3 linked regions of the Coturnix japonica genome follow. The protein of the gene in region 2 purifies or fractionates together with the protein of the main gene of each other region. This does not show direct contact. Links are inferred from orthologs where the notes say so. Each region holds a gene or a part of one and is shown on either strand. Other genes may lie near its edges. The genes, in order: XPO1, RCC1 and RANBP1.

What was found.
Region 1: the proteins of RCC1 (region 2) and XPO1 purify together in Homo sapiens (affinity purification with mass spectrometry; 3 studies listed by BioGRID and IntAct, with this or other methods). This does not show direct contact. The link is inferred for Coturnix japonica from reciprocal best matches to the Homo sapiens genes RCC1 and XPO1.
Region 3: the proteins of RCC1 (region 2) and RANBP1 purify together in Homo sapiens (affinity purification with mass spectrometry; 3 studies listed by BioGRID and IntAct, counting the BioPlex papers as one, with this or other methods). This does not show direct contact. The link is inferred for Coturnix japonica from reciprocal best matches to the Homo sapiens genes RCC1 and RANBP1.

Annotation. Positions count from the first base shown.
Region 1 is NC_029518.1:5,192,154-5,201,804, reverse strand, and holds part of XPO1 (exportin-1), read right to left. Parts: intron 5,925-9,651; coding exon 5,823-5,924; intron 2,007-5,822; coding exon 1,934-2,006; intron 1-1,933. UniProt on the Homo sapiens protein: Mediates the nuclear export of cellular proteins (cargos) bearing a leucine-rich nuclear export signal (NES) and of RNAs.
Region 2 is NC_029538.1:1,926,403-1,936,704, forward strand, and holds the start of RCC1 (regulator of chromosome condensation), read left to right. Parts: upstream 1-3,816; 5' UTR 3,817-3,888; intron 3,889-4,046; 5' UTR 4,047-4,093; intron 4,094-4,172; exon of another isoform or gene 4,173-4,378; intron 4,379-4,544; exon of another isoform or gene 4,545-4,636; 5' UTR 4,637-4,681; intron 4,682-5,441; 5' UTR 5,442-5,513; intron 5,514-5,789; exon of another isoform or gene 5,790-5,946; intron 5,947-6,186; exon of another isoform or gene 6,187-6,205; intron 6,206-6,482; 5' UTR 6,483-6,655; coding exon 6,656-6,725; intron 6,726-7,906; coding exon 7,907-8,094; intron 8,095-8,340; coding exon 8,341-8,520; intron 8,521-8,614; coding exon 8,615-8,711; intron 8,712-9,204; coding exon 9,205-9,327; intron 9,328-9,553; coding exon 9,554-9,700; intron 9,701-9,940; coding exon 9,941-10,060; intron 10,061-10,302. Other genes in the region: PHACTR4 (phosphatase and actin regulator 4), read left to right, coding at 46-101, 801-862, 1,432-1,569, 2,009-2,085, 2,395-2,410. UniProt on the Homo sapiens protein: Guanine-nucleotide releasing factor that promotes the exchange of Ran-bound GDP by GTP, and thereby plays an important role in RAN-mediated functions in nuclear import and mitosis.
Region 3 is NC_029530.1:1,019,656-1,029,923, reverse strand, and holds the start of RANBP1 (ran-specific GTPase-activating protein), read right to left. Parts: upstream 5,161-10,268; 5' UTR 5,053-5,160; coding exon 5,038-5,052; intron 3,630-5,037; coding exon 3,493-3,629; intron 2,904-3,492; coding exon 2,746-2,903; intron 1,322-2,745; coding exon 1,193-1,321; intron 141-1,192; coding exon 75-140; intron 1-74. Other genes in the region: TRMT2A (tRNA (uracil-5-)-methyltransferase homolog A), read left to right, coding at 5,548-6,020, 6,553-6,661, 7,110-7,291, 7,855-7,969, 8,229-8,344, 8,861-8,972, 9,580-9,702, 10,038-10,113. UniProt on the Homo sapiens protein: Plays a role in RAN-dependent nucleocytoplasmic transport. Alleviates the TNPO1-dependent inhibition of RAN GTPase activity and mediates the dissociation of RAN from proteins involved in transport into the nucleus.

The sequences.
Region 1 (9,651 bases), on a different chromosome or scaffold from region 2:
AGAATATCTTCTGAAAAAAAGACCATTTTGCTGCTTATAAGTGAGATTCTAGGCTGGAGCTAAAACATCCCAGGGCTGAACGAGAAGTGATAACAACACCCTGGCTAACTTCAAGGTCCAAAAAGATATTCCAATGTGTAACTCCAGGTACAGTTAAGATAAAATGTCAAAAGCAAAGATTCAGGCTCTGTAATTACTGACAACTGTTTACTTCCCCTGGATTTTCAGGCAGGCTGTCTTTTCACATAATTGATTCTCAAGTTAGATCTACACTTCTCCTCAGCTGATAAGCACTGCTACTGCTCCAAGAGAAGAATACTACTTTGTAATAAATGGATTTCGTTCCTTCATAACAAAATGAATAACAAAATGAAGGTTTTTCAGCTGTGTTTACTGTACAAACTGAATCAGATGCACTAAGTTTTACAAACTAAGATATAAGCAGAATTAATTGATTTGTGAAGGGATTTATTACAAAGCAGCTTGTTACACTGAATTTTGGTTTCCTGCACCCCCTATTTTACTAGTTACAACTCAAACCAGAAAATGCTGCCAACAAAAGGAGGCAGAAACTTTAACTCAACCAGTCTTCTCAACTCCCAGGTAATTAGACTGTCTAAATAAACTAAGAGCAGTTACCATCTACTATTCCAGCAGAATAAAAACAAAATCCCAGCAACTATTACCAAAGACTACATCAAACTGGATGAGAACTTCAAGGCCAACATGGATCAAATGTCACAGTACACGAGGCATTTGGCTGCTCTTCTACCGATGTACAGGAAAGAACAGAATTAAACGTGACCGGACTGATTTCTCCTAAAATAAGTTAATTTTACAATTTCACTGTGGCTTGTGAAAATGTTCTGAAAGACTTTATTTGGAGATATACATCTGTTGGGATGAAGGATACTTTTTTCTTCAGCAATCTTCAGAAGCACAAAAGGCAAGGAAAGCAAAAATAGAGTACAACTTCAGATAGCAATTGTATCTGTAACATGTTCAGCTACCTACTGCATCTGCTCAGATGATAACAACCAGCCAAACAGTACTACCATGCCTACTAGTAGTGAAGCAAAAATATAAAACACCATCTCAAATTCTGGAGATCATGTCTAAGTCACATATGCATGATTTGGCATCTGAAATCCAGATGTGATAACATGATGCAATGTATGGCCAAGCATCACCTCAGCACCACCACTTACACATTCTATACATTAAGTATTATTAAAACTTGAAACCACTTCTGTACTCTATTTTAGGCACTTGTTCAGTCCCAAACTATCAAATAAGTCTCTCTCTTCATCTTCTCCCATTTGACTGTAGTTTCCTTCAATAGGCATCAATCAATAAGCTGACCATAACTAATTCAACTTACTGATTCCTCCCTGCTTTGCTCCAACAGCCAAAAACTTTGAGAAGATAACTTCTGAATGCTAAAGATAAGTATTCATACTCAGGAAAATGGAAACCCGTGACATTTTAAAGTGAAAACGTAAGATCTTCAGGTTTCTCCCTCAGTTTCTCAATATGGCACAACTGCATTCAACCCCTTTTGGGTTTTTTTTTCCTAGAAGTCTGTAAGGCTGCTTCTAATAGAATTAAGTGAAGCCTTTTCAAGAGCTAGGCTACATCTGCCACTCTTTGAGTGGAGGTAAAGAAAATATTCACAAATGTTGAAGTCCCCCTCTCCAAAAATGAATCTTCACTTTTACTATCACATTTCATCAATAAACTGGCAGTGAAACTTCTGATCACATCTTCACAATGTTAGAAACAGCTCACAGCAGAACACAAATTCAATTGAGTTGAGAAATCAGTATTTAATAAAGAAGAACAATTACGGAATGGTGACAAGTTTTGAAAGTAGTTCTACTTAGTGTTTCTGGAAAAAAAATGTTAAGAGGTAACAACAAAAACCTCTTCCTACCTTCACACTGATTCCTCGGAAGAATCTTCCATCTTGTTTTTATCACATTTTCCAAGATTTGAAGTCCATAATACTGAAATTGGAGAATAGTAAAATGTGAGCATGTTACTGTACAACTAACTCACTGTCAGGATTTTCATTCAATCAGACATTCACATGTAACATCTACGACTTCAAGAACATTAAACTAAAAAAAACTATTAAATATGTCTATTCACCCATTTACTCAAGTTTCATGCATTTTTTTTTCTTTTAATTTTTGCTATACTAAATCCTGCTGTTTGATCATGCTCACACCAGAGAGGAAAAAAAAGAAAGAAGCTCTCTGGTAGACAATTTTGGCCTTCTGGAAAGGAAGAAGTGGCAGCCAGATATGAATTTGCATCATAAATGACTGTCCATACATTCAAGTACTATCACAACCAGGCTCCTAAAATATTTAGCAGCTTGGACGGTCTCAAGTTTCCTATCATTTCTCTAAGAGCTGAAAAAAAAAAAAATAAAAAAAAATCATGTCTCATCATCACATGTTCTGATGCTGGCACTTTCTAAGGAAAGTATTTCCCAAACTTCACTGGTGTGTTACTTTAGGAACAGCAAGACATCCCACAGGTTTATTCAACCTCAATACCCACCCCAATATGGCCAACTATTTCTACTATTTAAAGATGAACTTTCGTGCTCAGTCAAAAAGTATGCTTAAGTTCTTGGAAATTATTTTTTACCTTTCAGGAATTCCTTCCTAGGTTCTTTGCCAAGAACGTTCTATTTGCAAAGGAATTGGTAAGGACGCTCCCTCTGCCCATTTGTCCCTACTGTCAACTCATAGTAACAGGGAGAGAAGTTTTGATGTGATCAAGGTATATAAAACCCCATTAGCATGAATAGACAGCAGAGAAAGGGAGATGAGGAATTTTGCAATAGTTTTATCAGCTTAAGATTAGGAAGAATAAAATAAATCACATCAATACCTGAAAGGTAAATTCATGTTTATACAGTTAAAATTTTGGCTGAGAATAAGAGTTCCTCTTTAAAATGGTTAGTTGTTATATAAAGTAGGATCATTAACATTTCAACCAAAGGGATCACATGGACTTCAGCTTAATAAAAAAACACACAAAAGAAACAACAGAACAAAGCACAATGTAGGTTGTCCCAAACTACATTGTTCTATTAAAATCTTTGCTGTTTTCATCTTAACATAACCTACATTCCCCACATGCTTTCCTTTGTGACCCAAAAACCTCCACTAGATTAACGTGTAGATCCTGGACCTGCAAACCAGTGTCATCTTTTGAGATGCTGGGGCACAGATTAAAAAAAAAATTGAATCTATGGAAAATCATCAAGGTATCTTTTTTATTTTTCTTCAGTGTAAGCAATCGCAGTTCATAAACTGGATTTTAATCTGTAAGTTAACAACAGTTATTAAACACAAAAGCTAAATTAAATCAAGGAAGCATTAATAAAGAAAAATATATGAAAACTGTAAGTTGAATGTTTCACAGGCAGTGATGCATAAATGCCATTTTGTACCTGACCTACACTAACAAAACATTTACAGAAGCTTCTAACAACCTTGGGAATATGACTACTTATGTAAGACAGGGTTAACTGTCCTGAAGCAGAAGCTAGTTGTTTTATTTCTAGCTTGTGTAGGCACACATATTAACAGACTTTCCATGTTAACAGTTAAACAAAAACGCTGTTTGTTTCCAAACATTATTTTCCACAAGCCAACTTAACTGACTTTAAAAATCAGAATGGCATTTTACAAGAATTAAGAAATTTTTTAGAAACTACGGACAGAATTCATCTTCATTCTTTTTCTCTCCCTTAGAGTTTCACTGAAGTACTAGAGATGTCTGTCCTTTTCTTTAATGAAAGTTGCCATACTTTTTCCCCATTATGCACTGAAGAACCCAACTTAAAATCATTTCCTTAGAAGCTATAAAAGTTCACTTTCTATGTTTCTACAGAATTTTGCATGTTTTCTGAGTTCTGTCTTCTGCTAGTCTCTTGTTCATCTCCTCTCACCTCTGGTGCCAGTATTATTCATTTCTAATACTTGTGAGGGAAATGAAATGGGAACAGTAATAAAATCACCATAAATGACCTCTACTCATGCACCTTTATTGCCATGTTGTGTTAAAAGTATCGTGTGCTGGCTTTCTTCGTTGCTGTTGCTGCTTTTAAACTGAAGCTACTTTCAATTGAGTGGCTGCAAAAATTTGTGTTATCTTTATACCAAGGAAATACCAAAATCTCAAAAAAATCTCACCACTGTCAATTTTAAGTTCTGCCATCTGAAGTATCAGAGGTATTTTCATTAATTCATCAAACAATATGTGCAAACATTTAAACTCAGCATAAAACAGAAGCCTTTCCAAAATGCATTTTCTCTTAGTTTATTTCTAATTGTTTAGCAGCAATTCACTACCAAGTTATGAAGATGAGGGACAGGTAACAGCAAAGACTGAAAGAAACCCTATAATGATCCCTATGGTAGAAATTTCTATGATACCCTTATTACTTACTCTATACACCAAATCCCTTCCCTCCCACCTCCCAAGAAACAAAAACAATTGATGAACAGAATTCAGTTAAAGGGAATCAAAAGGGTAGACCTTGTGGAGGCCTGCCGTCAAAGCCTAGCTGTGTCAGTTGCACAGGAAGACACCCCTTTTCTTCCTATTACAAGCAATCAACATAATGGAACATTATGATTAATATCAGGTAGTGTTAACAGCTTTAATTAAAGAAAAAATATGATTGCATAAAAGCCAAATGTCATAGTGCATAAATTTAGCACCAAATCATTTGCAATTTATGTAAATGGAAGAATTCTTTACCTGTTGCTTTCTTTCTGTTCCTCAAATCATCTCATTTTTCACAAGACAAATTTGAGTTTTTAAAAATACTGTTGGTAAATCAACTTAAAAATTAGTAATGTCTGTCAGTATAATAAGCAAAGTTTACCAGGCAAGCAAACAGGCAAACACTGTTACTTAATGGTTAGCACTTTGAGGAAGTTCTTTAAATTCTTTTTTCCTAAACTTTAAAGTAATGAAATTGAACTCTTTCACAAATACCTCCTGAATTCAGAGACCATCCAACCATGATTATTTCTTTTCCAACACAGTTGCGTATCAAGCAGAAAACCATGCCTATCAATTACTTAGGATAATAATTATCAAACTTAAGACAGTGGAAACATTTCAATCAACTTTTCTGTTCAATCTGCAGAAATCTTATTCTAAAGTAAAACCTGTAAAGGTATTGTCAAAAACTGAACGCTATCCCTTTGACACTATCACGATGGATTGATTTACAATGGCAGTGCAAAGCAAGTTTGTTTTCTATATTAGTAAAGACTAATCTCATACTACAACGAGTTTGAGGTGCTCAACTTTCATCAACTGTTCAAAATAGTGGCCTGTTTCTATTTTGTCTTCAATACTCTTAGGGACAAATTATCTCCTCAGTTACATGCACATGGCTCTCATTCCATCAAAGACAGCCAAGCACTTAACCAAGAACAAAATGTAATGAAAAGCCTCCTAGAGCCACATGTATACACCGATCTTTGAAGTGGCATTATGCATGTATATGTGCCTTGAAAAAAAAAAAAAAAAACTTAATTCCAATTCAGTTCTTCCTTTCTTTCTTTCCCTTCCTTCCTTTGAAAAAGGAGGAATACTCTTGTGAACATAACAAAAGATTTAAATATTTTGTCCATTTATAGTTTCTGTTTAAAGCCACCTTTGGTAATAAGACAACAAAATTGTGGTTTGAATCAAAAGTCTATGGCTAAAAATGAGATACCTTCCTCAAAGTTCAGGAGTGGAAGAAAGATGAAAATCAAATAAATAAAAGTTTATTTGCTTACTTTGGTATTCATATTCTGAGAGAACTCCAAAATAGTATCAACTCTTGTCCATGCATCAGGATGTTCTTTTAAGTGAGTCAAGACTTCTTGAGCCATTCTTTGCTAAAAGAAAATTTGGAAAAAAAAAATTATGATTATTTAAGGAAATATATATATAGTAAAATTAAATATATTAACATCATGTCACCTTTGAAACAAGTATTCAAGACTTAGAACAAAATGAGAAGCAACAGATCACAGATTTCCTTCTGTCAATTATAGCTTATTAACAATCAAATTCAAGAAATGCACTACTGCAAGATGGTCACTGACTTACTTCCACTCCTCCATACAGAACGGTCAATCTAAATCAATACCAAACGTAAGAAAAGCACACTCAAGGAAAGTATACTAGAGATGGAATCTGTCCTCCTTTCAACAAATCTAGATAAAATTTTATCCAAGGGCACCCTAGCTTGCTTTCTTGTTTTATTCTGAAGAACAACTGAGCAGAACCAAAACTCTCCATTTACCCTATTTGAGAGGAAACCCATTATGTATCCACTAGCTTAGAAAAGCAGAAACTACTTGGGGGGCAGCAGGCCAGCTGGTCATGCTAGTCCTTAGGTTTTTCCTTGAGACTGACACTGCCAATTACTAGATATCACAGCTGCAATAACTTGCAAAACCTCATCTGAGCCAACTACGCATAAAAACAGCTCAACTAATTTCAGATATCTTTTTCAGGCCTGCATTTTCATAAACATCCGTTTTAGAAAGCCTAATGTTAGCCATTTTTAAAGATGCAGTATACCAACAAACCCTGCTGTAAACTGCATCGCCTACAAGCACCGGACAGACACTGCCTTCCAACAACATGAACATCTTCCAAGTTACAAGAAACAAGTAACGTGACCATCAACAGAACTCATTCTTTCACTGCAGGGCAGATCCAATTCAATGGAATTAAAGCAGTTACCACTTTAACTTCCCCAGTTACAACTTTATTACAGATAGCAGATTTCTAGTTAGTTGCAAGAGTGTACTTGAGCTGCTGGGGAAAAAGGAAACATCTACATGCCTTCCCTAACACAGAAACCCCATCAAGACTCAATCAATAAGAGATCAAATAAAAATTCAGAGCTGAAACAGTAAACAGCAAGGATATATGAAGTATCTATGAGATATCAGCATCTCTTCTTAAGACTACTCGCTATAGTAGAGCATTCCACAGTCTAGCACCGACTTTGAATTGCACATCCTGGTAGGTGCCACATCCACTAATACCACACATACATTCATTTTTACTTAAAAAGGCAGTACAACCATTCTCATACAGTTCCACAGAGGTAAAATATTCAGCAATTTTGATGTAGTTCAGCTGTACTAAGAGGGAAAGAATCATTTCCAGGCTCAACTTGAGCACTCTTTTATACTGAACCTTCTTAGTGCTTCTAATACAGGTGACGTATCACAAAACCAAGCATCAATACCAACAAGAAACATGGTCAATATCCTTCTCTCAGGTCCTATAAAATACACTCCCTTACCCACTAATATCTAACATGACTGGACAGCATCTCCTGTTACATGCAAGCAGTAATGCTTGACCAGGACTGAAGCCTCTGTTCTGTTGCCACAGAACGGAAAAATAAGCGAGTACAACCTTTCAGAGCACAGGACAGTCTAACAAACCAATAGAATGTAAGTGTCTGTGATGAGCAAAGCTAAACATCTGTCTGAGCTGTCTCAAAACTTATCACCTGTTGGAGCATTCTTTCTTTCAGAAAATACATGGGGGGGAAAAAAAAACAAAACAACAGCTAAGAATAGAAAAAAAATCTCCAAGTCTAGGAAAGAACAGCTTGTATTTGCCTACAACAGATCTTCGGATAGTTTTGCAAGCGGTAGTAAGAACTAAGCAAAAGACAGGAGATATTCAGAGATGAGGGGAAATGGCCTCAAGTTGCACCAAGGTAAGTTTAGGTTGGATGTTAGCAACACTTCTTTACAGAAAGGGTAGCTAAGTACTGGAATAGGCTCCCCAGGGAGGTGGTTGAGTTGCCATCCCTGGGTGTGTTTAAGAGCCGTTTGGATGTGGTGCTCAGGGATATGATTTAGCAGAGGGTTGTTAGAGTTAGGGTACTATGGTTAGGCTGTGGTTGGACTTGATGATCTTCAAGGTCTTTTCCAACCTGGGTGATTGTATGATTCTAACTGAATGCTTACTCAGTAATGTAATACTTACACGTAACTCACTTAGTTTAAGTAGCTAAGTTTACTGAAGTTCACAGCTTGCAGTCTAAGGCTTTCACCAAGTTAAAGAAAGGAAGGTCCCCAATTCTAGCCAGAGGATAACAGATTCATCCCTCAGCAGGAGATACTAGCAAGTTAATCAGTACTGCATCCCTGCCAGCATACAGAGGAAGGATCCAATGAGGAATAAGAAGGCCCCGGTTCCAAACATTACTGTTGGTCTGAACGCACATGTAAGGTGTAATGCTTGATCCTATGATATACAACAGTTTTAAAACCAGTAAGAAGGTCCAGTATAAAAACTTAGAAGAATTTGACCCAAACTCAGGTGTAGTAACCCTACAGTTGGAATGAGTGGAAAGAACTGTATGCTGGAATCTACAAAGGGCATTATCTCACTGGAGCTGCCCTCCATAATGGGGCTGCTAACTGCGAGTGGATAAAGTCTCTGGTGGTATGAGTGGGACCCCATGAAAGATGAAGCAAGGGCTGATTTAGGTGGCACAACTCCTAATGCAAGAACAATGGCAACTTGACCACTATGTTTAGGGTTAATCCTTTAGTCTTAGGATACTACAAGCACCATCTGCATTTAACTGGCAAATTTGCTATGCTGACTTAAGAGAACAAAAATCTCTACTATTGAAAGCAAAAGCTAGAAGCAGCTTTCTGTGACATCATAATTTTAAAACCTAACACTAGTAGCTATTTGGGATGTTGGAACCTGAAATTGCAAGTGTCTCAAGAAAATAACCATGGGATTTTAAACATTGGAATTAACATTAGAAAGCCATACACAAGCGTTTCATTAAAAATACACAAAGTATGTACAGGCAAGTATTTTTTTGTTTATTCTAATAGTTGGAAGGAGAAAAGCAAAGGCATCAGCTACTCATCTCATTAATTTATTTTTACTGTTGCACAATAATACACAAGTAATAGTTGCTTGACACTGAAACTCTCCATTTCTTAAGCACGGACGATTAAAACTTGCTGTAAAAGAAACTATGCCAACATCCTTGGTAGCAATACATGCCATCAACATTGAGCCTTCCTTCCCCCATAGTTCAAAAAATCAGTAAAAGCAACATGTATGAGATTCAGTTTCAAGACAGGATGCTTGCACACTCTCTCCTCAGACTTCACATTAAGGCCAAAGAATAGCATGAGAATAACCTGTGTGCAAACACACACACACAAAAAAAAAAACAGTAATATGGGGAAAAAAAAATAGATAAAAGGGCAAAATCTCTTAATGCCTCTAATATGCTTCTTCGTAAGTATAAATATCCTAACACTACAAATATTTTTCTCTTTAATATAATCCTTCAGTGAGGCCAATACTGAGTTTCTGACTTCACAATCCCATCCAGAATAGTAACAGGTAATTCAGACTTTCCTGAAACACTGAGGTACAGGGGGTGAGCCGCAAGCAAAGACGCTCATGCTAAATTGCACTTACTCATCTCTTCTAACAGAAAAAGGCAAGCAAGGTACAAAAACACACTGAACTAACATTTCAACATTAACTGCATCGGGACTACTTTAAACACAGGCATACAAATCACCAATTATATTCTTGTCACCAGCACAG
Region 2 (10,302 bases):
GGATGAGCAGATAACACATTATGCACTTGTCATGCTTTTCTTTAGGCGACTGAGTCAGAGACCCACAGCAGAAGAACTGGAGCAGAGGAACATACTTCAGCGTGAGTAGCACAGCTCTAGTGGCTCCAAGTGGTAAAAGCTGCCTTGTTTTGCATCTGACATTCTAGTCCAAGTGTACGTGGAGTCTGCTTGAAATGTAGCCATGGAGGTCTGCGCTTTGCTTACATCGCTGTACTAAAGCCATAGCAGGGATAGCACACAGTCCAGTTCAAAGCATCCCGTTATGGAAAGGCTGTCCACCCCCTGACAGCTCAGGGAAAGGTGTGCAGATTGATTAAGACTGCTCTGAAATGGCACAGCAAAGTTTTTGTTTGGACTGTTTGTCTTTGTGGCTCAGACATTACAGCATTGTACTGCATGATCCAAAAAGTTCATTGTTCAGTGAGCGCTGTTTCTTTTGGCCATACCCTCTACTGCAAAAGCTTTAAATAAACATATTGGGGAAAGGGAAACATCAGTTCAGGAAGCTTTACATATTTATCTGCGCTGCTTTTCTCTTCAAAACTCTTCCTATAATAGCTTTGGGGAGGAGTAATCTGCAAAGTGGTTCTGAGGGTACGGCCATTAATCTTAAATACACAGAGAGCTGGGGAGAATGACTCATTCACGCTGTGTCAAGGCCCACCAGACCACTGTCATTGAGCGGGGTGTTGCTAAGCAAAGGTATTAACGGAAGGTGCTTTTCAAAGCCTGTGATGCTAACAGGAAAACAACCTTTGTTTGTTTTTTCCACTTGGCAGCGAAAAACGAAGCTGACCGTCAGGCTGAGAAGAGAGAGATCAAACGTAGGCTGACCAGAAAGGTACTGCTGGCTCTCGTGCTGCGTTGGCCATCTGGCAGAGCTGTCGGGGTTGGTGGTGGCCGTGAGGTGCCTGGCTGTGGGTGAAGTCACGGGGCTGTTGTGTAATTGTCCCCAGTGCCCTCTGACCGCGGGTGACTTTGGAATGCGGGTTGTCAGAGCTCTTGGCACCACAAACAGGTTTGGCGCTGACAGATTTGAGCTGGCATCAAGTGTAACAAGCTAGATGAGGACTCAATTTGGCACCTGGTACTTGAAAGGGATGCCGGCCTGTCCATAGAACTATCATTCAGTGGCTGTGATGTTCACATCAGGCTCCTTGAAATCCATTTCCAAACAGCTGGAGAGAAGTTGTGCAGAGAAACAGCTGCTTTAGCTATGGTGCCCAGGTTGCACACTGCTGTTACTCATTGCTGGGGAAGAGCTTCCCATGAATGCCAGTGTCATGGTGAACAGGAGCTTGGTTCTGTGGCCCAGGACCAGTGAGGGAACTGCTCTTTGCCGTGCATGGTGTGACTGGTCCTGAGCTGCTCTAGAGACAAGGCACAGACTATTTTCATTCTTGTCTTCAGCTTAGCCAAAGGCCTACAGTAGCAGAGCTGCAGGCCAGGAAGATCCTGAGGTTCAACGAGTATGTGGAAGTAACTGATGCTCAAGACTATGACCGGAGAGCAGATAAGCCATGGACAAAGCTTACACCTGCTGACAAGGTAACAGGGAGTGCCCTGGCCCCGGGGAAGGGCAGGGAGTTAGAGCAGATGTCCCAAACAAAAGGGTGAGAGCCAAGGTGTGAATTGCTTGTTCTTTCCACCTCTGGCACCCCCACTTACTACCACCAGTTTGGTATGGGGACTGCCCAGCCTTGGTTGCAGAGGAGGTGGAGCAGGTTAAACAGCCTGGTGTGAAGTGACTGCGAAAGGTGGGAGTGGCTGCTGCAATCTGAGCTTCTTTCTTTACCAAAAGATGCTGAGGGATTCAGGCTTATGTGTAAGATCTGCTGTAACTCTTCCCTTTACCAGCAAAAGGCGATACAGATCAGCCCAGAGCAGGAATGCTGGAGCCACAGCGCCTCCCTGCCATATCTGAAACTCACTTAAAATGGGGGATAGGAGATAACAGGAGATAACAGCTCTCACTCTCCTCTTGCAGGCTGCCATCCGGAAGGAGCTAAACGAGTTTAAGAGCTGTGAAATGGAAGTCCATGAGGAGAGCAAGCAGTTCACACGGTGAGTGAGCACATACCATCACAGTGCCTATAGTACCAACCTTAGCAGGGTGTGCTGTACCTCCTCAAGGATCATGGAATGCTGAGATTCTGCTTTTAGGCTCTATATGTCCTGCTTATCAAGGAAAAAGACAGAAGTAAAATGTGCATCGTGCCCCCCATGGCTGAGCTGTGTTGGCAAAGCACAAGAGCTTTGTAAGGCAGAGATGAAAACTTTGGATGTTAACAGCTTTTTTGCAGTTGGTAATGCTTCAGTCAGTGCTTAACCCAAGTTCCAAGGGTGACACTGGCTTTTTCACTTGGCTTTTAGGTACCACCGACCATAACCTTCCAAGAGGGAACAAGAGACCCAAGATGCCTGGAAGTTCTCTGCATCCCTCACCTGGGCAATACAGCGAGGGCACAACCTCGACTCTTCCAAGATTTGCCTTCAAAACGTATCCAGCAAAGGGCTTTCAGCCAGGGAAGGGGGATCCTGTCTGAATGTAGCATTTCACTGGAACAAACAAGTCTCGAGTGCCATCAGGCTGGAACTGAACACTATACCTCGTGCAGCTCAGCAATAAGCCTCTCTTCTGGCTCCAGCATCCCTGCCAGAATGCACACACACAAGCAAAACGGTTCCTTCCCCAGCTTCCTGTGGTGCCAGGCCCAGTTCTCAGCTGCACATATTGTGAGCAACCCCTTTGTTTCTTCTTCCTTACCAAGAGGAGAAAAACCAGCTGGCAGCTCTGGTGCTGTTGAGCCAAGGAATGGAGGGCAGATGTACTAGGAGACACGTGTGTAGAGTTACTGGTGCAGACGCTGTCCTGGCAGACAACTGCCATCAGCCTTGTTGTTTTCTGGCTTTGCTTCCGTCTGTTGTTACCTTTCATGTCCTGAATCACTACTGACCAACGGTTTGTTGTCCTGGAAGGGAATTGTATAGAAATTAACATATGCTGCGTCTTTTTGGTTTCGTTTTGTAAAAAAAAACCCAGAAAAATGAGCAAAAAAAAGAAAACACAGAGGTATAAAACATTCCCTCCCCACTCTCTCACGCTCGCTGTGATGTCAATGGATCTCATGGAGGTTAATAGTGCTCATAGAACCCAGAAATGACTGTTGCCTTTAAGAACTCTTTGATTTGGGGAAGCTGTGACAGCAGTCAGTGCTTTCCATCGCAGCTTCCTCTCAGCTCTTTGGGTTATTTTTTACTCTCCCAAATCAGGGTTGAATTTGCCTTGTCTCATTTTATTTTTGTTTTTACAAGCAAAAAACCTACTGGAAACTTGATATTGATCACTGTGTGAGTGGGAGCTTTAAGAAGTGACCTTAAATCGTTCATACAAACTCACCTTATGGCACTGAGCGTGAAGGGACGATGGCAGCACTGTGGGAAGGCCTCACTGCGCCAAGGCCTGAGGTAGGCCGCGGCCCTCACAGCTTCCCCGTGTACAGAATGGGCTGTAGACTACAATCGCGTTGTATATCTGTCTCCTCAAACAGATTTTAATTATTGAATAAAAGTATTTTAGGAGTTTTGGCTTTTTTTTATCGTGTTTAAGCCGCCCGGTTGTGTTTCGGGCGCCATCTTTGAGCGCGTGTGTGGAGACGAACACAACCGCCCTTCCCGCCGTTCCCGCCTTCCCGCCGTTCCCGCCCTTCCCGCTCACACCGAGCAGCCAATCACCGCGCTGTGCACACGGCCCGCGCGTTCCGCTCACTGCGCCTGCGCAATTAGGCCACGCCCACCCCTCACTGTATAAATAGCGGCGCAGCCCTGAGCTCGCTCTCTTCTGGCGGCGGACGGCGGCGTGAGCAGGTGGGTGGTAGGGGGAGGTGGGCGGGGTGCGGCCTAGTCTGGCCTTGCTTTCCTTTGCGTCTATACAGCCTGTTTTCTGTTTTATTTCCTACTTGTGATGGTTGGTAGGGCCCACACTCCCGGCTCAGCCGGCCCTCACAAGCGTTGTTCTCCCCTAGGCCGGCTGGTCGTGCTGCACTGCGGCCTAACCCCGCCCGCTGCCGCTGTGAGTATCGCTGCGCTCCGCTTGTATGGATGGAAACGGGGTTGGATGGGGGGGGATGACACACATACACAGCCAGAACCCAACGAGGGCACCCGGAGAAGTAGCTCTCTCTCGGCTCTGTCCGCGTGGCGCACGGGAGCGTAGGCCTGAGGGCCCGAGACGTATATTCCCCTTCCACATCGTTGGAGAACAAGCCGGGCCTCGTGCCTGCAGCCTGCATATTCCTACTGCTTCTCTGAGCCCGTCGGGCAGTGACAGAGGAGATAAACCATGCAGGAAACATCCGTACAGAGCGGCTGTGGGGCACGTTGGGGGGTGGAGGGGTTGTGGGGGGGGGTTGGCTGTGGGGCACATTATGGGGTGGGAGGGCTGGCTGTGGGGCACATTAAGGGGTTGGGGGGCTGTGGGTCAGCCCCATAGCGCTGTGTGGGGTGGAGGGCTGGAATACTGGGGTTGGGGGGGTGGCAACATGCAATGGGAGCACGTAAAAACCATTTGGGGCTTGGAAGTAATGAGGTTTTCTTGATGCTTTTGTTAATGCAGATGCTGGAGATCCGTAGTTAAACGGCAGCAGCTGAGTCTGTGATGGTGAGTATGAACTGAGCACAGCGTGTGAGTGACCACAAATAGATGGATGTAAGTGTGACGTCCAGGCTGCTCGGTGGAGGTTGGAGCAGTGTGGAATGGGGGGGGGGGGGGGGTGTCAGGCCGTGCTGCTCCCTGCTGCTCCATTGCCCCCCAAGCGGCGTTGATTGATCCAGGGGGGCCCCTCATTGCAGCTGGGGGTGGTGTGAGGTGCCTTGTTGTATCAGCTGGGACCTGCAGGTCTTTATACAACGTGTGTGCTGCAGCCATCAAGGGGGCTGAGGAAGGGAGGGACCATTTGGTTGGGTGGGGGGGGTGAGGGGCTGCAGCTGGGGGGGGGGGGGGGGGGGGGGGGGGTGTTTGCTGTGTGTCACATGGGAGCTCTGGATTCTTCGTTTTATCTGTGCCTGCCAAATAAATGATTTTAAAACGCTGCCGTGTGGTTATTTCCTGTGCTGTGGGTCATCCTGTGTATGGGGGGGGGGGCTCCAGAAACACTGAATAAGTGGAGTTATTCGGGCTGTGTGTGGTTGGGTCGCCCACCCCTCATTGGGGCTGTACTGGGAGCTCGGTGCCGTTTGTAAGCAGTGCTGTGGGGCTGAATGGACTCTATGGGGTAGCAGTGCTGTGGGGCTGAATGGACTCTATGGGGTAGCAGTGCTGTGGGGCTGAATGGACTCTATGGGGTGAGGGGGGTGTTGGGCCTTAAGGCTAAAAAGCGATTCCTGCTGAGCGTACTTAGGCGTTGTTTCCCTCTGTTAAGCGAAGGACTTAACGGCTGCTTTTATCCCCGTTGGCTGCTTTTATCGGACCTTTGAACGTTCGGAACCGGACCGTGAGTAGCTTTGGTTGATGGGAAGGTTCCCTACGTGGTTCGGGGAGCAGCAGCCCGGCTGTAGTACGGGGAATAGGGGGGATGTGGGGGGCGTTAATATGGGAAATGGCTTAGAGAGGGGAGAAGGAGCTTGGGGAAGGGGTTGTTAAAGGGGGTCTTGGTGGTGGGGGGGTGAAGGGGAACCGACCCCTGTGGAAAGGGGGGTTGAAGGGGCGATGAGGTGAGATACCGGCCGGGCATTGCGGGTCTTAGCTCGCGGTGTTGGGGGCTTTTTAGGCTCCTCAATGCGAAGATCCCCCCGGGCTGGGAGGGCCGCTCCCGTGCCCCGAGGAGGCGGCGCCGGTGCCCGTTACCAGCAGGGGGCGCTGTGCCGCTCGCCGCGCCTCGGCGCATGCTCGGGGCCGGGAGCGACGGCGGCGGCGGAACGGAGGAGGTGGGTGCGCGGATGTGGGGGGGGGCGGGGGGGCACGGAATGGGGCTGGGGGAGGGGGGTGGGATAAAGGGGAGAAGGGGGAGGGGTCCGTATGGCCGTGCCGCTCCCGGAGCCGCTCGGTTTGTCCGCTGGTGCTTGGAACAGGCCGGGCCTGCGCGGCACCACGTGGGGTGGGGAAGTGGTGGAGTTTGGGGGGGGGGGAGGTAAGCGGGAAGTTCGAATCTGCGGCCCCACGCGTGTCCGGTGCTTCATTCAGCGGGTGGGTGCATAAAGATGGCCCCATTCAGCTGGCCCTATTCAGCTGGCCCCATAAAGCCTCGCTGGCCCCATTAACCCTCGCAGCCCCCCCGGCCCCTTCCCTACACCGTGCGGTGCTGGATGGGATCGGGATGTGGGATGTACCCAGGGAGCTCCCACGTCCCCAGCCGTGGTGGGACACCATGGTGGGACACCGGACACGGCCCCGTTCTGCAGCTCCACGTGGGGTCGTTTCACGGTGGGATATAAAGGTGAGAGTGATGTGTGTTCTCTTAAAGCTGGAGGACAGATCGGAGGCTGAGTCCGGACGCGGTGCTGTAACACAGTGAGAGCCGGGCTGGGGACAAGCAGGGTTTGTGTCCAGCACAGCCGACCAACAGCTGCAGCTCAGCACCCTGCGGGCTGGGCAAGGCCTGAACAGAGCAGCTTTCATTGCTCACATCCATCCGACATGTCTGCGAAACGTGGTGCCAAGAAAAGCCTCGTGTTGGAGAAGTCTCCTGAAAGGAAGAAACTCAAAGGTAACGCAACCCCACGGGGGGCTTCTCATCCCCCTCCATCACAACCCCATGGGGGGCTGCTCATCCCCCACCATCACAACCACACGGGGGGCTCCTCATCCCCCTCCATCACAACCCCATGGTGGGCTTCTCATCCCCCTCCATCATAACCCCATGGAGGGCTTCTCATCCCCCTCCATCATAACCCCAGGGCAGCTTCTCATCCCCCTCCATCACAACCCCATGGGGGGCTTTCAATCCTCCATGCATAACCCAGGGCAGCCTCTTCGTCCGCTCTATACAGCCCCACGGGGGGTTCCATCCCCCTCCATCATCAACTATGGGGGGCTTCTCATGCCTTCATCAGCCGACTGGGGGTCCTCATCCCCCTCATCACACCATGGTGGGCTTACTCGTGCCCCTCATCGAACCCTACGGGGGGTTTCCTCAATCCCTCATCACACCCAGGGCAGCCTCTCATCCCCTCATCTCATAACCCATGGGGCTTCTCATCGCCTCATCTAACGCCCAGGGAGCTTCTCATCCCCGTCCATCACAAACCCATGGGGGCTTCTCATCCCCTGCCATTCCATAACGCCAGGGCAGCCTCTCGTCCCCTCTATCACAGCCGCCACGGGGGGTTTCTCATCCCTCTCCATCACACTATGGGGGGCTCTCATCCCCTTCCATCACACCCACTGGGGGCTCCTCATGCGCCCTCCATCACAACCATGGTGGGCTTCTCGTGCCCCTCCATCGCAACCCTACGGGGGGTTCCTCATCCCCCTCCATCACAACCCCAGGGCAGCCTCTCATCCCCCTCCATCACAACCCTACGGGGGGTTCCTCATCCCCCTCCATCACATCCCCACGGGGGGCTTGTCATCCCCCTCCATCACAACCCTATGGGGGGCTTCTCATCCCCCTCCATCACAATCCCATGGTGGGCTCCTCATCCCCCTCCATCACAACCCCATGGTGGGCTTCTCATCCCCCTCCATCATAACCCCATGGGGGGCTTCTCATCCCCCTCCATCATAACCCCAGGGCAGCCTCTCGTCCCCCTCTATCACAGCCCCACGGGGGGTTTCTCATCCCCCTCCATCACAACCCTATGGGGGGCTTCTCATCCCCCTCCATCACAACCCCATGGGGGGTTCCTCATCCCCCTCTGTTTTCCCATCTGTCCTTTCTGCCCTCAGTCTGCCACCCGTCACATCGCACTCAGCCCGGCCTGGTGCTCGTATTGGGTCAGGGGGATGTCGGACAGCTGGGCCTGGGGCAGGATGTGATGGAGAGGAAGAAGCCGGCCCTGGTGCAGCTGCCGGAGCTGATGGTGCAGGTGGAGGCAGGAGGGATGCACACCGTGTGCCTCAGCGAGACGGGCAAAGTGAGTGAGCTGTGGGGGCATGTGGGGAGCTGGGTGGGGGGCTGAGGGTCCCCTGTAAGCATAGGGAGCTCCAGGAGCAGGGGTTGAATCATGGCTGGGGCTGCAGCCTCCCTAAAGCTCCTGGATGGTCTCTGTGGTGCCTTGGAAACATTGGGGTGTATGGGAGGGGGGGGTAATTCAGCCTGGTGGGTCCCCTGGTTTCATGTGCTTCCATGTCCCATCGTAACCACATCCCTCTCTTTATAGATCTACACCTTTGGTTGCAATGACGAAGGTGCCCTCGGGCGAGATACCACGGAGGAAGGCTCAGAGTGCAGCCCTGGAGCCGTGGAGCTGCAGGAGAGGGTGGTGCAGGTCTCAGCAGGGGACAGCCACACGGCTGCACTGACGGATGACGGCAGGGTGTTCATCTGGGGTTCATTCCGGGTACGTTGGCTGTGTGTGTTGGATGCTCTGCTGCTGGTTGCTGGGAGGTATCACTGACTCCTATATGTGCACCCATCATCTCTTCTCCACCCAGGATAACAACGGGGTGATCGGGCTGCTGGAGCCCATGAAGAAGAGCACCATCCCTGTGCTGCTTGAGCTCAATGTGCCCGTTGTTAAGATTGCCTCAGGTCAGCAAAGGGCCCCCACTGTTCAGCATTGGGTGAGGGGTGAAGGTCCAGAGGGTTCCTTCCCTATTTGCTGTGCTGAGCTGGGTGAAAGGATGGGCTGCTGTGTCTCTTGTAGCCCCTGTGGTGGTTTAAACTCAGATGGGGTCAATGATTAACACATTTAGCAGTTAGTTAGGAGTTATTATATACAGTTTGGTTGGTTGAAAACGCTTTGCAGTTACTGCCCTGTCACAGCACAGGGTCAGGGCACTCACCCTCTTTAGATATAGGGAAGCCAAACAGAGCAGCCAGGGAGTTTGCCCGGGATCCAGGTGAGGTTGGAGGCTTCCTGTGCCTCTGAATGATCCATCAGGAAGGGATCTGAGGTGTGTCAAGTGATCCAGAAGCCACAGAAACCTGGAAAGCTTGGACAGATGGGGCTTGGGATGTGGGATGTCCCCTTGGTGGGCTCTGGGGGGTGACTGCAGCACTCACTTTCCATGTCTCCTTACAGGGAACGACCATTTGGTGATGCTGACAGTGGATGGCGAGCTGTTCACGTGTGGCTGTGGCGAGCAGGGCCAGCTGGGCAGGGTGCCTGCACTCTTCTCCAACCGAGGAGGACGGAAGGGGCTGCGTGAGTGGTTTTGGGGCTCAGAAACAATTGGGGTTGCAGAAAGCAGGCTGTGTCATTGGGCTCTGGGCAGAGCTTTGCTGAGGAGCAGAGACACCCTGTCTCTTCCTGGGCTGTTCGAGGGCTTGTTTGTCAATTGGTTGCTTAAATTCAGTGATCTGCAACTGAGAGGAGAGGAAAAGGGTGTAAATCATAAGCTCTCTTCTGATGCCTTGTTTCTCATCCCCAGAGCGCCTGCTGGTCCCCCAGCGTGTCCCTGTCAGAAGCAAAGGCAAAATGCGTTTCCAAGATGCTTTCTGTGGGGCTTACTTCACCTTTGCCATCACACGGGAAGGACACATCTATGGGTTCGGCCTCTCCAACTACCACCAGCTGGGTGAGTTTCATTTGCATCCCTGCGGTTCTCCCTACTTTGGTGGGGCTCCAGAATGGACCTGATCCTACTGTGCATACCCAGTGCCCATTGCAGGAGCTGGAAAATCATGCTTGAGGCTCTGGGTTTGGTTCCCAACCCCTTCATTTGCTGGGCTGGGCTGTGTGAGTGGGGTCAGAGCCCTGTGAGGATGGCTTAGTGCCCATACCTGATGTGCTCGGCTTTGTGCATCTCACCCTGCAGGGACCCAGGGCACCGAGCCCTGCTTCTCCCCACAGAACCTGACGTCCTTCAAGAACTCCACCAAGTCCTGGGTCGGGTTCTCTGGTGGGCAGCACCACACCATCTGCGTGGACTCGGAGGGTGAGTATTGGTGGGATGGAGGGGCTGCCAAGCAGAGTGGGGTTCCTTAGAATCCCAGTCCCTTATGGGGGAGAATTTGGGGTCAGGTTGAAATGCTGAAATACTCTGAGTCCCCCCCACAGTTCTGTATCTCACTGGGGAGCCCAGAGTTGATGGTTTGCTGAGGGATGTGGGAGGGAGGAGCGATGCTCCCAGCTCCTGCATGGTCAGACCTGGGCCAGGAGGGGTCTGTCTGCAGCCCT
Region 3 (10,268 bases), on a different chromosome or scaffold from region 2:
TCAAGCACAGAGATACACTGGGGGCTAAAACCACTCAAACAGAAGAGGCACAACGTTTATGACTTAACTCTTACCTTTTTTTGCTCTCTTGTCTACTTCAATTCTGCATTCTTCAAACTTTGCCTTGAATTTCTGTGCATCTGTTCCAGTAAAGACAGAATATTTTTTCATTAACTTTGTCTCCTTCCAACACTGACTGTTTCTCAATTATCTTCCCTCAAAAATCAGACATTGTATAAAAAAACTTGTAGGTACTTATAATGTCATCAAATTTAAGATCAAATGAAAAGCTCTAGAAAGTTTTTCAGCCACTTCTTTGTGCAGATCTTCAGCAGCAAGTCTAAGAAAGCCTCTTCACACCTTCAAAATACTTCAAATAAGACTCCAGAAGGAACTACACCGAGGTCAGTACAACTCCTAGCTGTCCCTGCCCCACAAAAATAAGAATACACCAGTATCCTAATATTACCATGCACAGAAGACTGAAGATTAGCTATGAACTACTGTCCTTCTCCACTGCAATACACCCCAGAAGAACTCACAACCATACTACAACTTTGGGTCTCAGCATCAAATGCTGAATATAAACATTGAATACTGTACTAGTGATACAAAGACTGGAATTCAAGTTAATCTTGACTACAATAGCAAAGGAAATTTGATTGTTCTTATGTTTTGCCCTAAGTTGCCATAAACAGTGTTTATACACAGTTAATACAAGCAACAATAGATTGCCAGACTCATCAGTCAAGGTACTTCTTAGCACTATAGCCATACACACAGCACCTGGTACACCAGCTCGGTATGACTGACCACACGAGGTCACTGTTGCCCTACAGGAAATTCAGAGGCCACTGTGAACTAGTTCAAGAAATACCAACTCCTTTTCAAGCATCCCAGAAAACACACCTGAAGGGCTGACTCACATCTGCTCACCTGCCACCTGCTTAGTCAGCATTACGTTTGCATGAAAAAAATTAAGTTTAAAAGGTTCCAAGAGCATAAAGCTCTGTAAATATTACTGAGGACCTGGCTGTCATACCGTACATCAACACATAGTAAAATACGTCTCCAACTTCTCTCAGCGAAAGCAGCAATGAGCTAATGCTACTAGGCAGCAGCAAGGAAGCATATGTAACAGTGGTTTGCGGTATAGAGTATAATACAACAAGTTCAGCAGCTGTCCACTCACTTTCCGCGTTTAAAAACCGGATTGCCAGCAGCTCAGGCTTGGGGCACTCATCTGCGAAGTCAGCATGAGTGTTCCAGACCCATGCCCTGTCGCTTCCAGCATTGGGCCTCAGCTCCATTAAGGGTGTGACTGAAAAGCAAGCATGAAAAGAGGTACAGAGCACAGTAATATATGTTGTCCACACCAGCCTTCATAAATCTGAAGGATTTGTTGCTTACATAATGCATTTTATAGAGAATTACTTATGGATAAATAAAAAAACACCAGCAGTATCCTTTGCACCCTCCAATACAATGACACAATGCCATTCCTGTACAAAAGACTGCTAGATTCACTACGGTGCATCTTAATTCTGTTCCAAAACAAATGACTTCTATACTTACCCCAAGAGATGCAGGCATTAAGCACAATCCTAAGGAGCAGTCAAATGGTTTAGGAAGAAAAGGCACTCAGAGGGGAAAAGAACATTGTTTTGCACTCTGCAAATATGGTATACTACAAGAAAAACTATTATTCCTACACTTAGTTCTCTAACCCAACTGACTGGGGGAGTTTCAACGTTACTGCTCACACACTCAGCCCTCACAGAGTTCAGACACGTACATTCCTTGCTTCTCCCTGTCCAAATCCTGGCTCTTGTGCTTAGTTCAGGAGAAATCTAAAGACAGCCAACTCACTTCCTTGCATGTATTTAAATATATTTAGAGATGGAATTATGCTGTTTCATTTAATGCTCTTAAGAATGAAAAAGGGTCCTTCTGTCTGCCTGCCCATCACCAGAAATTCAGGGAAAAAAAATGTATACTGCAAAAAGTCTTTCCAGGACAAACATCAATTTAAGTGGACATTTCCCTAAAGAAAAGGCTGATTACTGTTACTGGTTGGTGACTGTGCTACTTTTGCATTTGTCTTTGACCTTCTGCAAAGGTTTGCCCATAGAAAAATAAACATCATTGCTTCTGTTCTCAGATTTGCATTGTTACTTTAAGCAATTATTTCAAACTACTTGAATGTAGCTTAACCTCAAAGATACTAAATGCTCTATCAATAACAAAGTATTACCAAGGCTACAAAGTAGACTAATTTGGTAATAGTTTCTCATTCTTTTATGAAAAAGTCAGCAAACATTCTTTATAATAAACAGTACTAAGGCCCACATTGTGACCATTAAAGAACAAAGCACTGGGATCAATGACACTGTGTTTGTCCATCCCAGTTACATTTCAAAGTGTCTTCAAACATCAGCACTCTTTGAAACAAAGAACTTCCAGATTCAGTGCTGCAGGTTATCATCAAAACTACAGCCTCCTTCCATCCATAAAGATGAGAACTCATGTTTTGATACATGGCTTTTGTGGACAGAGCAAGAAATGACAGCATTTATAGTCTCCTGTAAGTTGGACACTTGCTTTAAGAGGCAGCATCTCTCTACCTACACTGCTAAAAGCCACCGGGCTCTTGAGTTTCAATGTATAAAGCTCCATCAAGCTTACTTAAAAAACAAACCACACACACACACAAAACAGTAGCAAGTATAGTAACACATAACATACTGTAATGGTTTGCGCAGATTTTTAGAGTTTTATCCCTCCTCATGAGGAGGCGAATTGTTCCCTTCTCCTTGTGCTTTAGGAGTTTTACATCACCAGTTCCTCGTTCTTTCCATTCTGGAAGCTCATTCTCAGATGCAAATCGGAACAGCTTTGCTCGCCTTAAAGAAGGAAGAACGTGAGAAGTTAGCCTGTATGTAACAGCTTACTGAAACAACACATCCACCTGTATGGTACAGCAGATGTTTTTAAGCCACGCAAGAAAGAGAAAATGTTTTGAAAGAACCTTGGGTGGTTCTGTGAAGTGCCAGGAGTTGGACTCCATGAGCCCTGTGTGTCCCCGCCAGCTTGGGCTACTCCGTGTGATTCCAAATAGATCTTTGTCTGGAATGTGCCTAGATCCTATGCTGGTCTTCCATACCTTTTGCACTATAAGTTTTAGACCAGTATCACATACCTTCAAAACTTTATTTATTATCCAAGTTAATGTTTTCTTTTGGGATAAAAGAGTCAATACTAAAACCAGATTCATGACACCATCTCCTTCATGCTATTCCAGACCTTCATCAGTTCCTTGGGGACAGTGCTGTCAGACCTCCCCAACTCAACCTCTGCCATTAAAGTAAATAGCAGTGAACTTACACTGCCACTTCATACAGAGATTCCTAACAAGTCATCCAACTTTCTCGTAACACATTAAAGCTTGAGTACAATAAGCAGCCAGATAATGCGTACAAGTGTTCTACTTACATCTTGAAGAGCTCTTCCTCATCCTCTTCCAGAGTCTTTATTTCCTGCTCTGGAAGGGAAACTATGGGCTCAAACTGAGGATCGTGGTTGGAATCATCTGCATTTTCAGTAGAGGTATCGTGCTCCTCATGTGCTTCCTGGACAGGGGAAAACAAAAAAGAAAGCTAAACATGCTGCACACTTACATTCACAACTACTCAGCAACTGGATCTCAGCAACTGAAATATGTGTTAAAATTAACCAATATTCACAGGTGAAAATTAATTGCTTTATGTCGATGTGCAGTTAGACTAAGAAAGAAGCAGCCTCATGCTGGTTTTGTTCTACTGTCCTGGCCTTTGGCTGCTGAAAAGTCATTTCCCCATCATTTTTCCAGTATATGCACTTAATGCTACTAACAACCTATTGTTAATGGGGGGGAAAAACATCACTAAAGAAACCACCTCCACCAGCCCAAGTCCATCCAGACAGGCAACAGAAGTTCATTGTTCTCATCCTACGTGTCAGAACTCCCCACAGCCGCAGAGATTTCTGAAGCACAGTCAAAACACTCGCGAAGTGACTGAAGTTTTTTTCCTCCAACACAACGCTCTTTGAGGAGCCTTGTTTTTCATTGAGGGTAAATGGCCAACATGAGGCTTCCTATGCAGTTGCTCGGGGTCTGCCCGCACAATTGCTGGGCTCAGGAAGTCTGCAGGGGCAGCTGGTGAGGAGGGCACGGCACCATGACTACATGGCACGGTACCACGACTACATGGCACGGTACCATGACTACAGGGCACACGGCTGTGCTGGTAGGGGCGCTCAGTGAGGAGCCTTCAAGGGAAGCGCTCCGCAAACTCAGCGAGGCCACAAACATGGATCTCGGGGGGACAGAACCGGTTCGTGCCTTTTTGTTGCCGCAGCCGGGACAACACAAAGGCGGATCACACACACACACACACACACGGGGCCTGCATTGCGCTCAGTGCGGAACGGAGACAAGACGGGAAAGAACGGGGCAAAAACTTTCGGTTATCGGCGATCGCTGCGGGGCACGAGCGGCCCCGGCGGATCGGAACGTTCAGATTGAACGGAGCCGCCATACAGCGTCGGGATATAACGAGATAACGACGAGATAACGAGAGATAACGAGATAACGAGAGGAGCGGAGCGGCCCCGCAGCCCCGCCCCCGGCACACCGGGCCCCGCCGCCACGTGCAGAGCGGGCAGGGCGGTATCGCGACAGGCGACACGTGGGGCCCTGCGGGAAGGAACGAGGAGTGAGCGGGAACGGCAACAACAGCCAGAAACGGCCCCGGGGAGCGGAACGGAGCGGAGAGGAACGGAACGGAATAGAGCGGAACGGAGCGGAGCGGCTCCTGCTGCTCCCCATGGCAGCGCTGCCCCAGCCGCCCTCGCGCAGCTCGGCCCACAACCGGGCCTGGGCCGCGGCCTCGGCCCCGCGCGGCCCCCACCCGCTTCCGTTACCGCCATCCCCCACCCCGGCCCGCTCCCCCGCCGCCTTCCCCCCCTTATTTCCCTCCCCCCGTTCCCATTCCCCACCTTATTATCCGCCATCCTCCCGTTCTCTCCCGCTGTCTCAGCTCTTCCTGCCGCGTTCCCGCCCCTCCCGCCTTTACCTCATTCCCGCAGCCCGCGCCGCCGCAAGGCACGATGGGAAACGGCCCCTGCCCTCCGCCCGCCCCGCCCCTGCTCTCCTCTCGCGGTGCTGGGCCGCGTGTGTCCGTGTCCGTTTGTCCGTGTGTCCGTGTGCTGCTGTGCCGTGTCGGTTCGGTTCCGTGTCGGTTCGGTGCCGCCCACAGCCCCGCCCGGCACCCGTACCCCCGGCCCTGCAGCCCCGCTCTCCTCCCCTCCTCTCTCCCCGTTCCCCCTCCCCCGGCCGTGCCGTCCCGTCCCAAGATGGCGGCCGTGCTGCTGCAGCGCTGAGCCCGCCGCTGTCTGTATTGTACCGGGTCGGATCGCACGGTTCGGTGCCGCTGTATTTGAACACCATCATCGCTGCTGATCGTTCCATCCCCGTCTCGCTCCGTGCCCGCTCCGCCCCATCCCGCCATGGACGCGGCCGAGGTTGGCCCCGACGTGTACGGGTACACCCGTGCGGAGCTGTTCACCTCCGAGATCTACAAAGTGGAGATCCAGAACCTGCCCAAGTACATCGGCTTCAACGACGTCAAGAAGTTCCTGGCCAAGTTCGGGCTGAGCCCGCACAAGATCAAGCTGCTGGGCAAACAGACGTTCGCCTTCGTGACGTTCAAGAGCCAGGAGGAGCGGGACGAGGCCGTGCGGGTCCTGCACGGCGCCGCGTGGAAGGGCCGGGCCCTCGGAGTACGGGCGGCCAAGCCCAAAGCCGACCCCATGGCGAGGAAACGGCGGCAGGAGGAGCGGGACGGGACCGGGACGGAGCCGGCAGAGCCCGTCAGCAAACGGATCGCGGACGTGGTGACCCCGCTGTGGGCACTGCCCTACGAGCAGCAGCTGGACGAGAAGCGCCGGGACTGCGAGCAGCTGCTGCAGAAGCTGGCAAAGTAATGGCACCAAGTAATGGCACCAAGTCATGGCACCAAGTCATGGCACCAAGTCATGGCACCAAGTCATGGCACCAAGTCATGGCACCAAGTAACGCCGCCCTCAGCCCGCAGTCGGGCACCTGAGGATGCCAGCACAAAAGGGCCTGTGCAGAGATGGCCCGGTGCCACCGGGATTCCCTTACAAATTATCCCCTCGGTTTTCAAGCTCAGTCTTTGTAGATCGAAGTATTTGTTCCATCATTTCCCTCAATCCCATAGATAAAGTCCCACCTGTGCGCTGGGTACGTTCTTAATCTGGTACATAGAGTTAAAGTTGTACAAAGTGTCATTTCCTGGGGCTGCAGGTCTGGTAACTTGAGAGATCTGTTCCCCTGTTAAAACGTGGGTTTCCTCCAGGAGAAGAGTTTTTCCTCTGGTAACTTGTTATGTCCATTGTGGGCCATGAAAGGATAAGAAAAAGTCTTTTGTAACTGTCAACCTCACTCGTTCCAAACACACACTTTTTAATTGTTGTTTCTGATCCGGGCAGGGAAATTGGAAATACCAACAGAGCGCTGCTGCCCTGGCTGTTCCTGCAGAAGCAGAAGTACAACAGGATGTGCTGCCCTGTGGAGGGAGTGAAGGCCTCACCATTACAGGTAACGGGACGCTCTGGGAGCTCAGCCTTCAAGCAGCCGTCATAAGAGACAGTGAAGCAAGTGAGGGTTTTTCTTCCTCTGTCAGTTAATCACCAGCTGTAGGCATCGTTGCCTTTCATGTAAACAGTGCCTGGAAAAGTTGGCAAGAAGCAGAACAATCTGCCTTTAAATACTGTGCTGTCCCCAGCAGTGTGTTGTAGTTAGTGTAAGTGTGGTGCAGGGAGCGCAGGAGTTTGCTGTTGGAATTGCAGATCCTGTTGGTGCTTTATCACTATGGCCAGTAGCTCCCCTCCACCAAAGTCTGGGACTGTCTGAAATGCCCTGTAGGCGTGTATGAGTATATGAGTATCTGAAATGTACCTGCAGCCACATGAGAGTAGTTCCAGGATGGAACAGTTGACAAGGAGGTGCTGTATAAATCTCTGACGTAACTTTATTTTAAATCTAGACCGAATATCGCAACAAATGCGAGTTCTTGATTGGGATCGGTGTAAATCAAGAAGACAAAACTGTGGGTTGTCGTCTTGGCAAATACAAGGGTGGTACCTGTGCTGTGGTGGAGCCGTTTGATACCATTCACATTCCTGCTGCTGCCAAAAAAGTAGTAAAGGCTTTTCAGGACTACATAAGGTGAGCAAAAGTGAAATGGGGTATCTGTGAAAGTGTTGATGTCCCAGATACTGAAGAGTACTCATAGAATTAACTATGGACAGTTGTAAATTAGCTGCTTGTTTGGCTGAATCCTGCAAGACAACCTTAAAACATTGATTGCTGAGCAACAGGGCTTTCTTATAAGTGATTTGTTTGAAAAGCAGTTAAATCCTCAGCAATTGAAACCCCCAAATAATTGTGAAGATGGGCAGCTCAACTTGCTGTTAAGGTTCTTAAAGTGTTTCATTTTCAGACCATGGTGAGGGGCTGCCTGTGCTCTCTGTCAGTTTGGATGGATTAAAGCGGAGGAGGATTGAGAAGAGCTAAGGGCAGATTGTTTTGCAGGAGGAGACAGGATCTACTTCATCTGTCCTTTTTTCCTTAAGATTTGGAAGTCATTCTTTTCTCTGCAATCAATGTAGCCTCTGCTTTAATATTGTTCATCACTTTACCTGCTGAGCTGCTTTTGTTTCAGTAAACTATTGAATGTTATTCCCTCACAACAGTTCCTTGTTAAATTACTGAGCTGCTGCACATTGCAGGTCAACCCCTTACTCAGTTTACAGCCCAGAAACCTACGAAGGTCACTGGAAGCAGCTCACGGTCCGAACCAGCAGGAACGGCCACATCATGGCAATCGTTTACTTTAATCCTCAGGTATTTGAGATGCACGACACACTGCTTTAAATTACATTAATTTGATTTTCCAAACAGTGCATGTGAAAGAGAAATGGAATAGTTATTTGGTACTACTTTTCTACTTAAAATTATCCAGTACATGTAAATGAGCAATTAATTGACATCAGTAAATTATCTTCTCTATTATATACTGCTTCTGTACAGGTGGCATGTGGTAAATCATTTCTTTTAAGTCACAAAGGTGATTATTCTCCCTCCTTTCCACTGAAACCTTTAGAAATTAAGCAGAGAAGAGCTAGCTGAGCTGAAGGCCGCTCTGGCAAAACACTTCACTGAAGGGACGGGGAAGGAGAGCGGTGTTACCTCCCTGTACTTTGTGGAGGAAGGCCAAAGGTAACGGGACTCAGCTTCGCCCCGGGGAATTTGGGTGGTGGCAGTTTTGTTAACAGTAACATCGGTGGCGCTTCCACACCCTTAGCTCACCTGTTTCTAGTTCCTAAAGGTAACAGCAGCGCTACTAATTAGCCAAACAGTTATTAAGCTTTCCCACAAAACTGAAACCTCCGCGTCCCTGTAGCGGTGCCTGGAGAAAGGCAGATGGCATTCCTGTGGGTGAACCCTCTGACTGGGTAACTGTCACACTGCAGAAGAGTGTGCTGCACCAGATGGCCATTTGCTCTCAACAATCAAGTTCTGCCTCTTTTTAGACCCAACTGCGTATAAATAGAATAAGAATTATAAGAAAAAACGTCCAAGACGACATTCTGTAAAAGAACACGATTGGTGTTGCACACTATAAATTACTATCTGGGATCTATCCAGCAGTATTGCTTTGAAGATGACTCCAGCTTTGGGAAAGATGGCAACAGGTAGACTTATGTGCTTTTTTGTTTGTTTCTCCCCTCCCAGGAAATCCCCCAATCTGGAAGATTTGCCTTTGGAGCACGTGGCTGGCGATAAATACATCTATGAAGAACTTCTTGGCCTGAAGTTTAGAATTTCTCCTCATGCATTTTTCCAAGTAAGGATGATACTGAGCTGCTAAATGAACTACATTTGCATCATTGCCTTCAAAATTGGTTGCTTCCCCATAACAAGATAGCATATACTTAGGAGATGTAACCTTTCTACCTTCATTGTGATTGAATACATTTAAGTATTGTGTTCTGCTGTACAAGCTCAGTAAATGAGCATCAATGTTACTGGTGGGACGTCAAACGTAGCTTCTCCTTTCACTGCTTCAGTATTTTGATACCATTTGTTTCCTGCTGAGTGGCCTTGTACAGAACGTGCAGTAGCAGTTCCATAATCTTTGTAGTTCTTGTTTCCTTCTCCAAGAGGTAATTCTTCCCTCCCAGTGCTTTTAATCCTGAACATGTAGTCTGTGCTGGTGGAACGGAGTTAAGTGCTGAAGCAGAAGGAACATAGAAACCAAAACATTCTATTTCAGAACCAAATTAAACTTTTGTAATGGTGTCATGACTTGGAAGTCAGCCACACATGACATTAAGTTACATATAAATGGGACTTGTTTCTTAGAAATGAGGTTGAAGAAAACCTGCTTTCCTAGAACTCATTCACACACACTTACTGTTATGAAGTCGGCTGGTTTGACATTAATTTCACAGGTAAACACACAGGCTGCAGAAGTTCTGTACGCTGCCATTAGGGAGTGGGCACAGCTGAGCCAAGAAAGCACCGTGCTGGACGTCTGCTGTGGTACCGGAACCATTGGGATTTCCTTGGCTAACGTAAGTAACATCTATCCCTGGATGTGATCTTGTAACAGCCAGATGTTAATCTTTTGTAATGCTTATGACAAAAAGAATACTTGGTGTGTGTATACATATACCCCTAAGAAAATGAACAACCCAGCATAAGTGGAGTTGGGATAAGCGGTATCCATCCCCCAGCTTCTATCTGAAAAAGCCCCCATTGTTTGCCTGGGTTTCTTCTTAAACCTTTCTGGCTGCAAGGCATGAGTTCTCCAGGCTGGTATTGCTCCAAGCTCCTGTTAATTGCTGATGCTGTGAATAACTGCTCCATTTCCGTATTGTGGGCTGATCTTTTCCCCTTCATTCTGTAGAAAGTGAAGAAAGTGATCGGAATTGAACTCTGCCAAGAAGCTGTGCAGGATGCCAAAGCCAATGCCCAAATTAACGGTTAGTTAAGCTAAGAGGCTAAAATCTTTGTTTTCTGTGTCCGTTTTAACTGTATAATCTTTCCTGAAAACAGAATTGAATAATAATCTGCAGGATCAATTTTCCTGGTGACAGTTAGCGTCAATGTTTGGTTTTCTCATAAATAGAACACTTCA